Pelodiscus sinensis: one gene and its partner. The protein of the gene in region 1 binds, or shares a complex with, the protein of each later gene. Links are inferred from orthologs where the notes say so. Each region holds a gene or a part of one and is shown in the gene's direction. Other genes may lie near its edges.

The links. The genes of interacting proteins can lie anywhere in the genome.
Region 2: the proteins of SENP2 (region 1) and SUMO3 are in contact, whole or in part, in a crystal structure (PDB 2IO1), measured with the Homo sapiens proteins. The link is inferred for Pelodiscus sinensis from reciprocal best matches to the Homo sapiens genes SENP2 and SUMO3. Residues at the interface, in NP_067640.2 of Homo sapiens: Gln385, Asp386, Phe393, Lys394, Leu395, Arg396, Trp410, Leu411, Asn412, Asp413, Glu414, Ser439, Thr440, Phe441, Pro444, Lys445, Arg456, Trp457, Lys459, His474, Lys476, Val477, His478, Trp479, Met497, Gln499, Gln542, Asn544, Gly545, Ser546; in NP_008867.2 of Homo sapiens: Arg55, Arg58, Arg60, Phe61, Asp62, Gly63, Pro65, Asn67, Asp70, Leu75, Asp81, Asp84, Phe86, Gln87, Gln88, Gln89, Thr90, Gly91, Gly92, Val93, Pro94, Glu95.

Annotation. Positions count from the first base shown.
Region 1 is NC_134720.1:3,563,634-3,570,533, reverse strand, and holds the start of SENP2 (sentrin-specific protease 2), read left to right. Parts: upstream 1-3,886; 5' UTR 3,887-3,944; coding exon 3,945-4,045; intron 4,046-4,099; exon of another isoform or gene 4,100-4,342; intron 4,343-6,900. UniProt on the Homo sapiens protein: Protease that catalyzes two essential functions in the SUMO pathway.
Region 2 is NC_134720.1:3,174,924-3,182,592, reverse strand, and holds the start of SUMO3 (small ubiquitin-related modifier 3), read left to right. Parts: upstream 1-4,667; 5' UTR 4,668-4,831; coding exon 4,832-4,852; intron 4,853-7,669. UniProt on the Homo sapiens protein: Ubiquitin-like protein which can be covalently attached to target lysines either as a monomer or as a lysine-linked polymer. Does not seem to be involved in protein degradation and may function as an antagonist of ubiquitin in the degradation process.

The DNA of each region.
Region 1 (6,900 bases):
ACGTGCGTTCTTGTGCAAGTAAATTTACAGACTCGAGTCAGAAAACAGGGCTTCTTCTGGAAGAGTTATTCCTCTCCCCACGAGGAATAAGCCCTCTTGCGCAAGAGGGCAGTGTAGACAGGCAACATGAATTTCTTGCGCAAGAAACCCCTGTGGCTAAAATGGCCATCAGAGCTTTCTTGCGCAAGAGAATGTCCACACTGCCATAGATGCTCTTGTGCAAAAGCACATGCCAGTGTAGACATGCTCTTGTGGAAGACTTTTTGCACAAGAACTCTTCAACATAACAGTTCTTGTGCAAGAAGCTGCCAGTGTAGACGTAACCCTTAGGAGTTTGAACTTTTGGGGCAGGCTATGCAGAGGATAGGAGCTAAGCAGAGAATATTCAGAGCAGAGTCCTGAACAAGGGGAAAATCTGCGTGTCCTGAGTGACTGAGCAATATTTGTTCCTGAGGTTTTTAACCTTATAGTTGTTTATATTTTTTGGCCTCTTATTTTAGCCCTTCAGTTTGCTGACTTTTCAGTTGGCTTGGTCAGGTTCAAAGGTCAATAGGGGCTTCACCTGACATGGCTGACTGAAAAGACAATAACAGCACTGAGGAAATGAGATCAAAAGCCTGTCAGAGGTTGTCCGTATCGCCTGGCACTCCCCGCTTCCCATGAGCAGGGATTTGAAAGCTGGAAAAGAAGGGATTAACTGAATTAAGGCTGCCTGGCTGCTGGATGGTGAACACAGCTGATTGAAAGGGAATAGAGGCTGCTACTTTGGAGGGAGGGAGGAGAGGCTTTATAAGAGGTTCAGCTGCTTGGGAGGAGCCTTGGCCACAGGCCTTCTGTAGAAGTGAGTTTGGAAGCAGGTGCTGTGAGTAATTGCAGGGGTGGGAAGTAAGGTGGCTGAGCAGAGCAGAAGCCAGGCGTGGTGACTCAGCTGCCAAACTTACAGGGTCTCTTGGGTGATGCTCCATGCAAACTATGTAAGGAACTGATTTGTGTAGAACCACACATTTGTAATATCAACAGTGGGGTAATGTAGGGCAAGCTTGCAGCAGCTGTGACCCTGCCAGAGAATTTCATCTTTCTTCCCCTTGGTAGGTATGGGAAAGGGCTTACATTATGATGGCTGGGGTCATCTACTCTTCATGGCCTCTCTGCTGTATCGGTCAAGTGGTGGGAAATGTATGTGTGGGTGGCAGGGAGGGTTCTATGCTGCAGGATCTCCCTTCATCTCTGGCCAGCAAACAGCCAGTTGAGGAGAACATTTTATAATCCCTCCTGAACTGGGCTAGATTCAAATTGGTGTCCTACAGGGGAAAAGTTCTGTGGGTCATTAGCAATATTTCATGAGCATTTCCTAGCTTGAGTGAGTGACTTTACAACCATTTGTTGGTTTTTAATTTTTTTTTCTGTTACAGACTAACACAGCTACCCCTGTGAACCTTCCTAAGTTCTTTTAATGCAGCTTGTCAATGTAATGCCTTGGCTTTTCTTGCAGTGAAAAGGTAAAAAAAATCCATTAAGTGCAACTGTAATCCCACCACCCCCAGCATGTTGGTTTGGAGCCACACCTGTTAACGTTGATGGCTGTTCCTTGGGCTACCAGGTTTTGCTGGCTGGGAGCAGGAGGCTGTTCTTATGTGAGCCTGCATTAGAGGAGGATGCATAATCAGCTGTTTCAGTGTGTTATGTAAGCATGAATAACCCCAATTTACAGACTGCACAGTTAAGGAAAAAGATATGCCCTGTGCTTTCTGAGAGGAAATTTGGGTTGGCTGTATTCATATTCCTGGGTTCTATCTCCAGCTTAGGTAATCTCTTTGAGGGATATGTTTAGTAACAACTGGGAAGGAGAGCCACTTATCAACAGTCAGTGGAAATGAAATTGGAACACATGCATGCCTGCCTTCCAATATGATGCACATCCTCCTACGCCAAAGGCTGTTTTAATAGGGAAGCAACACCAGGATCATCGTCCATTCTCTTATTGGGCATATGAATTCTGTGATCCAATGAAGTGAGACGTTAGGGCAATACAGACAGGAAGATCAATGGCGTTGAGGTATTTTAATATGGTGACAGAGAGCTGTGATGGTAAGTTACAATCTTCAGCAGTGTAGAACTTGTCACAAATCGGAATGGATATTCCTAAGGACAGAAAAATGCATCTCTCCTTGCCAGACCTCTCTGTCCTGCTGCATACCAGCTCTTGTCCACTTTTCATACAGAAAGTGTCAGGCGCTTACCAGATCAGGCTGAAAGATCACTCCTTAAGGCTAGTATATTCCATTGCTCAGCCATGAGCAGGAGACCTGATTGTACGCATCACTGGTATGCTACACCCTGTAGTGGAGAACTGCTAAATTAGCTGCTTGTATATTGCAAAGTAGACTGATGACGCACAGGGACTCTTGCTGCACCTCTTGTCCGTCATGTCAGCTGTGCGATAGAGAAGCCTTGTTACTTAAGCACCTCTAAAGGTCTCAGGAAAACAGAGAAGCAACAGCCCATCCATGGGTAAATTTGTAATGTTCAGAAAAGGTATTTTATTTTTATTTTTGGCCCGCCCCACGTCCATATAATGAAAAGAACTTGTACTTTCAGATTTTGAGGGCTATGCCTAATTGAATAGTAGAAGTTGTTTTGAAAAGGTGAACACATTTTACATAGCTTTTGAAATGGGCTTCAAAACTAATTTTTGAAATTGTGAGTTGAGTGAGGTAATCTTTTCTTGGACCAATGTTTGCTTGGCAGAGGGAGATGAGGTTAGGATCTCACACACAGCTCTTCCTCAGGTCATTTCTGAAGTGTTTAACATTTTTTGTCCTGCTTAGTCACAAAACTGAAGACTTTACCAAGTACCTTCTGGTATGGTGCCCATCAACAATTTGTGTGTATTGCTCAGGTGTGGAACCACCATGAGCTCTGTAAATAACAAACATGCTAGGGAGGGTGAGGCATGAACCCAAGCAATGGGCAGCACTCCAGCACTAGAAGGTAAAATGTTGAAGGTGAGCAGTAGCTGGAAACCAGGAATGAATCTTTGCTGTTGAAATTGATGGAGGAAACAGCTGGTGGAAAACAGAGGGGTGGCTTTTTTTTGGGGGGGGGGAAGAGGAGAAAGTGTGAAGTGGTGTGTTGGTGGGAGAGGGCATTGCCAGGGTAAGGAGTGGGGGTGTGTGTGCTGTGAGGGAGGGATGTGTTTGTGGTGGGTGTGCTGGTCACGGGAGGAGGGGTGTTTGGGGGGGTGCTGGTCAAGGGAGGAGGGGTGTTTGTGGGGGTGGAGGAGGGGCTGGTCAGTGGGGGAGGGGTGTGTGGGGGTGGAGGGGGTGCTGGTCAGTGGGGGAGGGGTGTTGGGGGGGTGCTGGTCAGTGGGGGAGGGGTGTTGGGGGGGTGCTGGTCAGTGGGGGAGGGGTGTGTGTGGGGGTAGAGGGGGCTGGTCAGTGGGGGAGGGGTGTGTGGGGGTGGAGGGGGTGCTGGTCAGTGGGGGAGGGGTGTGTGGGGGGGTGTGCTGGTCAGTGGGGGAGGGGTGTGTGGGGGTGTGCTGGTCAGTGGGGGAGGGGTGTGTGTGGGGGTTGCGGGTGGTGTGCTGGTCAGTGGGGGAGGGGTGTGTGTGTGGGGGTGCTGATGGGGGTTGTGGCACTAGCGAGTGGCAGGGAGCCGGGTCGGTGCCTGGCGGGGGCGGAGCCCGGCTCGCCCCGCCCACCGCCATGAGACGCGCGCTCCTCCGCCAAAGGTGATGCAGAGACGCGCGCGGCGCTCGGTCCCCGCCCCTCCCTTTTCTCCCCCAATCAGGACCGAACAAGCCTCTGGCCAATGAGGAAGGGGTCGGGCGGGTCCCCGCGCGCAGGTAGCGCCGATTCGCCCCGCGCCTGCTGGAGAGGGCTCCGTCCGTGACGTCACGCCGTCGCGCGAAACAGCCGCACTTCCGCCTCCGGTGGCCGAGGCCTATGTACCAATGGCTGGTGGAGGCGCTGCGCTCCCTGCTCTTCCCCAGCGCCCCCCGGCGGGACGCGCCGCCCCCCGCCCCGCGGAAGAGACGGCACCACAGGTCAGCCCGCCCCGCGGCGCGCGGTGCTCGGCCGCCGGGGCCCCGATCCTGAGCGGCGGCGCTCGCGTGCCGGAGCCGGGCGCTGCTGGGGGGCCTGGCCGCGTTCGGCCTCAGGCACCGCGCGGGCTCGGCTTCCCCGGCGGCTCCGCGCTCCCCGGGGCTGGGGCGAGCGGCTCGGCCCGCGCTGGGTGTCTCCTCCTCCTGGGGCCTGCGAGCGCCCCGCTCCACTGCCCTTCGGTCCAGAGGGCTCACGGTTTGGGGCAGAGAGGCGTGTCGCGCTGGCCAGTCGCTCCCTGGGTGAGCGCTGCTAACGGGGGGATCCCCACAGTCGGAGAACTTGGTAAAAACGTTTTTCCGGAGCCTGAAGCCACCAGAGACTCGCTGTAGTTTTGTTCTGGCGCTTGTTCAGGTCAAGCCTCAGGATTTTTGTTTTGGGGCATGTAGTTCTGGGTGCTGTTTCATACAGAATATGAGCTTAATGGGCCAATAGATGAGGTTGGGTAGAAGTGGTAGATTAGTTGTGCTGTCCAAGATTCGATTTGTGAGTTGCTTATTTTGGAATATTTTGCAGTTAAATCTATTAAAAAGAATACTTCATGTGAAACCTCAATAGTTTTAAACTAAAGCCGGTGTTCCCACATTTAAGAACTTGAACAGGAATTCTCTGTTGCCTCCTGAAGCAAAATACAGGACAATGTAGCACTTTAAAGACTAACAAGATGGTTTATTAGATGATGAGCTTTCGTGGGCCAGACCCACTTCCTCAGATCAAATAGTGGAAGAAAATAGTCACAACCATATATACCAAAGGATACAATTTAAAAAATGAACACCTATGAAAAGGACAATCAAATTTCAGAACAGAAGGTGGATGGAGAGGGGTGGGGGAAGGTAAATGTCTGTGAACTAATGGTATTAGAGGTGGTGATTGGGGAAGCTATCTTTGTAATGGGTAAGATAGCTAGAGTCTTTGTTGAGACCCCCACATAGAGTGTCGAATTTTAGCATGAATGACAGTTCAGAGGATTCCTTTTCAAGTGCAGCTTTAAAAGGGATTTAAAAGTGCCTCCTGTCGTTCTATACATTATTTTGAAAAGTTTTCACTCCCTCGTTGTTTGTGCGACCCAACAAATAAAAGTAGACACTGATTGTACAGAGGAAACTATGACACTGAATTGCATACAGTGCTGTCAAACACAAATGGTACAGTTGTGAAAGTGTGTGGGTGGAGGGGTGGGGTTGTACATCAGTTATAATCTTAGATTTTAAATGGGAAATGATCTGACGTGAGTTGGAAATTAATGGTGTGACTGACTAAAAGTGTTAGACTGCTGGTCTCAAACTATTTACTTGAGAATTACGTAATATTTGTTCCTCCTTTTTTTTTTTCTGATAAATTTTGGTTGTGGTCTTCCACCTTGATGCTCCTTGATCATCTTTACCCTTCAGAAACATACTTGATTAAACTATTAGTCATCCTCTTTCTACTCCCACTCCTGCAGTGAACCATGAAGAAAATCTGTACAGGAGCTTAAACACTTTGATACCATGCACATAAGGCTAATTATGTAAAAAGTGATGGGCAGTATGAGAAACTGAATTATTGAAGTTAGAGAAACAAAAGACTCTGAGATTCATAGGATGGTATCTAGCACTTCAGTCTGTTTGTTTTAAATCTCACAAGAGGGGACTTCTGAAATAGCAGTGTCAAAAGCTTTCTTTCTGATATTCATACTGAACTTTGTTTAATTTCATCCTATTTATTGCAGTTATATTCTCTTGTACTGCTCATTCTCCTTTTATTTTCAGTTTTCCAGTATCTGAAAGGTTTGAGCAAATCTGCCTGCTTGGGTGTCTTTTGCAGTATTACTTATTTAATAGGGAAGATTAAAGTTTTTTCCCAAGCTTCCTCTAACTTACTGCTTAATCAGTTTTGTGTACTGCTTCCTTCACTTTGTCCTTTTAGCATTACCCTAGGTTCATGGAGGTATACTTAGCTTGCCTATTTATTTTGAGATAAGGTTCCTACTAGACTTCAGAGAACCAACTGGTGCATGAACAGGAGCAAACTATAACTGGGAATATTATTTTATGTTCACTGTTTATACTTGCTCAATAACTTGATTTTCACAGACTTTGCAGATTATTTCATAGCTTGATTAGAAAGTAGGGGCATAACAGGATAATCATTTAAACAGTTAACCGGTAACCCTGGGATTATCGGTTACTGTAAACGGTTACACTCATGTTGTGCTCCCAGGAGCTGGCTGCTGCCCTCCACTGCTGCCTCTGATACAGTGGGAACTTCCCTTCTTTTCTTCCTTGCCACTCTGTCAGTTCCCAGTGCAACAAATGTATCCCTCAACTCAGTTTCATTACCACTAGGTGGTTTCTTCTTCTGCCTTGTCCTCATGATGTTTTTCCACAGATTACCATCCTCTTCTGGCAATTTGCTCTCCAGCTCTTTTTGTTCAGCAGATATCTTTAGATCTTGTGGTGTTGGTACCGATTCATCTTTCCTCTCCTGCATTATACCTAGACATGCCTGTCTGAATTCTGTCATCCCGGTTACATTTCAGTTCCTTGGATATCTTCTCCCATGAGCTGTATCTGGTGACATTTCATACACATAAACAGCTTCTGTCAGATACCTACTCAAGCATAATGTACATACTGTAGCTTCTGTCTGACCACCTTTTTTTCCTCTCTTCTAATGCTATCTCATAGCCATTGTTGTCTTTTATTCTTAGACTGTATTTCTAGAAAAAATAAAGGGGGGGGCAGACCTCCCACAAATTCCAAGAAAACTGCTAGCTGTTCGCTGTCTCAGAGAGACAAATATTTGTTGTGGGCTG
Region 2 (7,669 bases), about 390 kb from region 1:
GAACTGCTATCTCTGTTCCTTATGTGTATTGTGTAACTTGTATTGCTTCTACAAGGGATGTATGTCACACTGATGTATGTGAATTATTGCTTTGTATGCACATACGTATTCTCCTTTGCAAATGTATGCTTACAACTCCTTCCACATACATACATGTATTTATATGTATACATTTATGTGGTTTTGTATGCAAGTCTTTTAATAGAATCTATGGCTAGAAGGAATGTGCGAGATCTAGTCTGACCTTTTGTATAACATGTCTTGTATATGTATTAGCACAACATGCCAGGATCCATAGGAGCCAAATACATTCCCCAGTGTATGTATACGTATGTGCACTTTTTGTGCACTGGTCTGAATTGTGTGCATTTATTTGTATACATGTCTGTTACTATTGTATATGCAGGAGTTGTGCATACATGTATGTTAGTTGTGGGGTTTGTGCATCTATGCATACTTTGTGGGGGAAATAGCATCTATGCATACTTTGTGCATGTTTTGTACATGTGTGCATCCATGTTGGCATGTGGATACACTATAAACAGCTCAGGATGCATGTTTATGCATGTCTTTTCATTTACAAAAACATGTGCCTGTTTTCCTATATGCTCATACATGTTTATGCAGGCATATTCATTAGTGTATATTGGTTCATGTTTATTTCTATGTGTATATATGTTGGCCATTGGCCACACAGAGGGCTATAGCTATCTATATGTCCATTAGTGTACATGGGGGTGTATTTTGCATGTGTACACGGGAGAGTCATGAGCAGTCACACAAGGGAACACAAGTACAGGCGCTCCCAGACTTGTGATGTGATTGGTTCTGGGGGAAGCGGTGCAAGGCGGGGGCGTTGTAACTCGAACCTACGTTTACAATAGGTGCCATGCGGTGTTGTAATTACAGGCCAAGGATGTAAGGCGGGGGTTTCCAGCCCCTTCCACACTTACAAAAACGGTCGTAAGTGGGTGGGGGGGGGGTCGCAACTTGGGCTGGATGAAAGGGGGGGGTTTCCTGTATTTGTACGCCTCTATGCAGCCTCAGTTGCCCCATCTTTAAAATGGGGAGGACAGTACCACGCTCAAGCTGCGGGTGCACAGTGGCGGCTCGGAGCCGGACATTGTGTGTCTGTGCTGGGGGGTGTCAGACAGGGAAGGGGCTGCCAGGGGCTACCCCCTCCACCCCCCCCCTCGCCCACCAGGCCAGTACTCCTGGAGGGCAGATGTAATTGTGGCAGTACCAGGACTTGGGGGAAGCTGCCCCCCCTCCCTCAGGCTGTGGGAGGCGCTGCCCCAGGGGCCCCTGTGCTGCCCCCCCAGGCTCTGAGAGGCGCTGCCCCGGGGCCCCCGTGCTGCCCCCCCAAGCTCTGAGAGGCGCTGCCCCGGGGGCCCCGTGCTGCCCCCCCAGGCTCTGAGAGGCGCTGACCCAGGGCCCCATGCTGCCCCCCCCAAGCTCTGAGAGGCGCTGACCCAGGGCCCCGTGCTGCTCCCCCAGGCTCTGAGAGGCGCTGCCCCCCCCCCAGGCTCTGAGAGGCGCTGACCATGGGGCCCCCGTGCTGCCCCCCCCAGGCTCTGAGAGGCGCTGCCCCGGGGCCCCCGTGCTGCCCCCCCAGGCTCTGAGAGGCGCTGCCCCGGGGCCCCTGTGCTGCCCCCCCCCAGGCTCTGAGAGGCGCTGCCCCGGGGGCCCCGTGCTGCCCCCCCAGGCTCTGAGAGGTGCTGCCCCCCCAGGCTCTGAGAGGCGCTGACCCGGGGGCCCCCGTGCTGCTCCCCCCAGGCTCTGAGAGGCGCTGCCCCGGGGGTCCCCGTGCTGCCCCCCCAGGCTCTGAGAGGCGCTGCCCCGGGGCCCCTGTGCTGCCCCCCCAGGCTCTGAGAGGCGCTGCCCCAGGGGCCCCCGTGCTGCCCCCCCAGGCTCTGAGAGGTGCTGCCCCCCCAGGCTCTGAGAGGCGCTGACCCGGGGGCCCCCGTGCTGCTCCCCCCAGGCTCTGAGAGGCGCTGCCCCCCCCAGGCTCTGAGAGGCGCTGCCCCCCCCAGGCTCTGAGAGGCGCTGCCCCGGGGGTCCCCGTGCTGCCCCCCCAGGCTCTGAGAGGCACTGCCCCGGGGCCCCTGTGCTGCCCCCCCAGGCTCTGAGAGGCGCTGCCCCAGGGGCCCCCGTGCTGCCCCCCCAAGCTCTGAGAGGCGCTGCCCCGGGGGCCCCGTGCTGCCCCCCCAGGCTCTGAGAGGCGCTGACCCAGGGCCCCATGCTGCCCCCCCAAGCTCTGAGAGGCGCTGCCCCGGGGGCCCCGTGCTGCCCCCCCAGGCTCTGAGAGGCGCTGCCCCAGGGGCCCCCGTGCTGCCCCCCCAAGCTCTGAGAGGCGCTGCCCCCCCCAGGCTCTGAGAGGCGCTGACCATGGGGCCCCCGTGCTACTCCCCCCAGGCTCTGAGGCACGCTGACCATGGGGCCCCCGTGCTGCTCCCCCCAGGCTCTGAGGCGCGCTGACCCGGGGGCCCCCGTGCTGCCCCCCCAGGCTCTGAGGCGCGCTGACCCGGGGGCCCCGTGCTGCCCCCCCAGGCTCTGAGGCGCGCTGACCCGGGGGCCCCGTGCTGCCCCCCCCCCAGGCTCTGAGAGGCGCTGCCCCGGGGCCCCCGTGCTGCCCCCCCCCCAGGCTCTGAGAGGCGCTGCCCCGGGGCCCCCGTGCTGCCCCCCCCCAGGCTCTGAGAGGCGCTGCCCCGGGGCCCCCGTGCTGCCCCCCCCCCCCAGGCTCTGAGAGGCGCTGCCCCGGGGGCCCCCGTGCTGCCCCCCCCCCAGGCTCTGAGAGGCGCTGACCCGGGGGCCCCCGTGCTGCCCCCCCCCCAGGCTCTGAGAGGCGCTGACCCGGGGGCCCCCGTGCTGCCCCCCCCCAGGCTCTGGGAGGCGCTGCCCCGGGGGCCCCGTGCTGCCCCCCCCAGGCTCTGAGAGGCGCTGCCCCAGGGGCCCCCGTGCTGCCCCCCCCCAGGCTCTGGGAGTCGCTGCCCCGGGGGCCCCCGTGCTGCCCCCCCCCAGGCTCTGGGAGGCGCTGCCCCGGGGGCCCCCGTGCTGCCCCCCCAGGCTCTGGGAGGCGCTGCCCCGGGGGCCCCCGTGCTGCCCCCCCCAGGCTCTGAGAGGCGCTGCCCCGGGGCCCCCGTGCTGCCCCCCCAGGCTCTGGGTGGCGCTGCCCCGGGGGCCCCCGTGCTGCCCCCCCCAGGCTCTGAGAGGCGCTGCCCCGGGGCCCCCGTGCTGCCCCCCCCCAGGCTCTGAGAGGCGCTGCCCGGGGGGCCCCCGTGCTGCCCCCCCCCAGGCTCTGAGAGGCGCTGCCCCGGGGGCCCCCGTGCTGCCCCCCCCCAGGCTCTGAGAGGCGCTGCCCCGGGGGCCCCCGTGCTGCCCCCCCCAGGCTCTGAGAGGCGCTGCCCCGGGGGCCCCCGTGCTGCCCCCCCCCAGGCTCTGAGAGGCGCTGCCCCGGGGGCCCCCGTGCTGCCCCCCCCCAGGCTCTGAGAGGCGCTGCCCCGGGGGCCCCCGTGCTGCCCCCCCCCAGGCTCTGAGAGGCGCTGCCCCGGGGCCCCCGTGCTGCCCCCCCCCAGGCTCTGAGAGGCGCTGCCCCGAGGGCCCCCGTGCTGCCCCCCCCCAGGCTCTGAGAGGCGCTGCCCCGAGGGCCCCCGCGCTGCCCCCCCCAGGCTCTGAGAGGCGCTGCCCCGGGGCCCCCGCGCTGCCCCCCCCAGGCTCTGAGAGGCGCTGCCCCGGGGGCCCCCGTGCTGCCCCCCCAGGCTCTGGGAGGCGCTGCCCCGGGGCCCCCGTGCTGCCCCCCCCAGGCTCTGGGAGGCGCTGCCCCGGGGCCCCCGTGCTGCCCCCCCCAGGCTCTGGGAGGCGCTGCCCCGGGGCCCCCGTGCTGCCCCCCCCCAGGCTCTGAGAGGCGCTGCCCCGGGGCCCCCGTGCTGCCCCCCCCAGGCTCTGGGAGGCGCTGCCCCGGGGCCCCTGTGCTGCCCCCCCCAGGCTCTGGGAGGCGCTGCCCCGGGGCCCCCGTGCTGCCCCCCCCAGGCTCTGAGAGGCGCTGCCCCGGGGCCCCCGTGCTGCCCCCCCCAGGCTCTGGGAGGCGCTGCCCCGGGGCCCCCGTGCTGCCCCCCCCCCAGGCTCTGAGAGGCGCTGCCCCGGGGGCCCCCGTGCTGCCCCCCCCAGGCTCTGAGAGGCGCTGCCCCGGGGCCCCCGTGCTGCCCCCCCCAGGCTCTGAGAGGCGCTGCCCCGGGGCCCCCGTGCTGCCCCCCCCAGGCTCTGAGAGGCGCTGACCCGGGGGCCCCCGTGCTGCCCCCCCCCCAGGCTCTGAGAGGCGCTGCCCCGGGGGCCCCCGTGCTGCCCCCCCCAGGCTCTGAGAGGCGCTGCCCCGGGGCCCCCGTGCTGCCCCCCCCCAGGCTCTGAGAGGCGCTGCCCCGGGGCCCCCGTGCTGCCCCCCCCCAAGCTCTGAGAGGCGCTGCCCCGGGGCCCCCGTGCTGCCCCCCCCCAGGCTCTGAGAGGCGCTGCCCCGGGGGCCCCCGTGCTGCCCCCCCCAAGCACTGTGGGGCGCTCCCTTGGCCCCTCCATGTTGGCGCCCCGCACCAGTTCCGGTTCCCCGATGACGCACTTCCGAGCGCCCCGCCCTGCCTCCGCCCCTAAAGCGCGCCCCCGACAAGCATCGCTCGCGAGCGCGCCTCGTGAGCGCGCGCCGGCACGTGGCCCCCGCCGGAGCCAATCAGGGGCCGGGGATTCGGGGGGCGAAGCGCGCGCTCGCGGGCAGTTGCGGCGGTTGCGAGGCGGGAGCCCGGAGCGTGACTGTGCCCGCGCCAGGCCGGACTCGTCCGACGCCGCCATGTCCGAGGAGAAGCCCAAGGTAACGGCCTGCGCGGGACGGGCTCCCCCCGCCCCCGCCCGCGAGGGATGCCGGGAGCGCGGCCTGGCTGCGGGCCAGGCCCCGGGAGCGGCCGCGCGGGGCCGTCGGGGGAGCGCCCGCCCCGTGGCCCCGCCCCAAGCGCGGCCTGAGGCCTGGTGTGGGGGAGGGGCGTCCGGGTAGGGCCTGTGGCAAGTCCCTGGGCCCGGCCCCGCCCCCCAGGGGACCCCTGGCCCGGGAGCGGGGGGGACGTGCCCCGGCCGAGGCCTCGCCCGGCTAGCCGGAACGCCCAGCGTGGCCCGGGGGCTCCGGCCCGGCCGTGGGGTGAGACGCCCAGCCCCTTTCGGTACCAGGCGCGCTCACACAGAGAACACGAGCCGTCGGAAAGCGGGACCTGGACGTCGTCTGGAAAGCCACCGGCTGGATTGCCACTTCGGGACTCGCCATTGAAGAGGAAGAGATTTGTGCCAAAAGATGGAAAGCGAATCCGTTGATTAGCCAATGCCTCTTTCAGGTGGTCCCTGTACATTCTTTAAGGGACGGTGTTGCAGCAGTGCACAGAAAACGTCCTTGGTACGGGCTGGCATTGGGCCTCATTGATGGAGGCAGTGGTACTTGGTGGGTTCTTGCTCAGTTCTTTGATTCTGAAACTTGTGGAAGCTTCTGACTTTCCTCTTCAGGGTTTTAACAATTGTCGGTCATCAGCAGCGCTCGACAAGTCATTGAATCTACTCGCCACGTTTCTTCCGGTCGCCCCATTCATCGGCGGCGCTTGCATGTGCAATGCGGGTCTTGCGCATGCGCACTGCGGGGCTGGTGAACAGATTTCGCCACTGTTTGTCAAGCCCTGGTCATCAGGATCTTGAGAAACTGAAGAACTTCTTGTCACCTGGAACTAGAACACTCATTCTTAAGCTGATGATAATTGAGAAACTGTTAAGTTTATTTAGTGGGATGAGGAGGCCAGAAATTAAGTGTTTGGGAATTACTGAGAAGACCTGTGTGACTAATCTTCAGAGCCCATGTGTCAGGAGGTATGGTTCAGGAGGAGAAAGTTCTTCAGTCTTCCTGTTGAGTTGATGGGCTCCTTGGCTGGCAAGATTTTGCTGTATAGAAAAGACGCTTCCACCTGTTGCCTGATGCAAGAAAAGAGATGAAAGATTTGGCAACCCTGGATTTGTTGGAAGTTGTGGTGACTGAAATTTTCCCTTGAATCCCTGAAAGAGCATTGGTTGGGCAAGAGCTCATTTAAGTCTCAAAAATTCTTTGGTGTCTTTTTGAGGGATCCCATGAAAAGTGTAATTTCACCAAAAGGCGTTTCAATGACAGAGGTGATGGTCACAGGAAAGTATCTTGAAGAGCCTGCGGTCATGGCATTGTTTACGTTGATTGAGAGAGAGAGACCCACAATTGGTCAGTTCAGTCCAGTCAGTAGTCAGGAGTTCTTTTGGATTCCTCACTAACATTGATTGAGCTCTCACTTGTCAGTATCTGCAAGCGGTGCTTACTTCTGTGTCTGTTTAGCTAGGGAAACTCTGTCCCATCTAGATGGACAAAGAGCTGCTAGTGCAGAAGGCTACAGCACATCAGCAGCAACACAGACATATCACATCTGTCCTCTGTCCTCTATGCTGGCTTCCCATAGAACCAGCAAATCAAGGTTTCAGTTGTTACCTTCAAAGTGCTCCTTGGCCTGAGCCAAGTACCTAAAGGATTGTCTAAAACTCAGAGGCAAAGAGCATGGTTAACAGCTCTGCTCCTGTAGCACTGTAGAAATCTCAACAATAAGAGTAAAGCTTGTCTGTGCAGGAGACCGATTTCTTCAGAGGTTGTCTGAGATGCTGGAATGAGCTACCCCAAGGATGAAGTACCACCACAAACCTCACCATTTTCTGATTCAAGGGCAAGACCCATCTCTTTCATCTAGCCTTCTCCACTCTTTAACAACATATATTTATATAAAAAAAGCCGTAGGGGTGGAAGCAGACACTACTGAACAATCATACTTCCCTGAACACGTTTCTCCCTCTAGGGAGAGGATGAGAACAAATAACATATGACAGTAGTCACATCACGCAGCATGTTACTGGAAGGCGTTCAGATGCTATTGAGATCCGTGCATTGTAAAAGCATATAGAATGAGATTGACCTAGTAGGTCTATGTCCAAAGCGCTAAGCCAAGCTAGAATGTTTCAGAAAGAGTCCTGCTAGAAAACTTAGCAATGATGTAGATTGTTATATAGGAAACAGAGTGCTAACTGGTCAATCTTTAGCTTTTTCTTGACTTTTGTGGGCAGTCTTAGATTTAGGATGTTGCATGGAGTGTATAATAAAGATGTGAGCAAAAACAGGTGGTGTAAAATTGTTTTGTAGGACAGTGAGCAGATATTCAGAGACCCTTTCCAGTGAGTTTTTAAACATGTGGCCCACAGAATCCTTAATGGTTCTTTTCCTTCCACTGAGATTAGAAAGTTCGTGTGCTGGAAGCAGTCTTAAGCTGAAAGAAGGGAGGCTCAATCTAAGGGCAAGGAGGACTGGATTTTCCTAGCTGTACTTGGTGTAGCTTTTCTGTAGCTCTGCTCTTAGATATTTTTTTTTCTCTGGATTAGGGATGTTATCCGGTTAACTGGCAATCATCACCCTAAAAGGCTAATGCTTATTGGGTCGTCTTAACCAGTAGGGTGCTGGAGCAGTAAAGCCTCCTGCTCAGGAGCCGCTCTTACATGCAGAGCTTACCCATTTGTGTTGATAACTTGTGTGAATGTTTATGATAGGGATGTTAAATTGCGTTTAATCAACTAATTGACTAGTGGCTCTTAA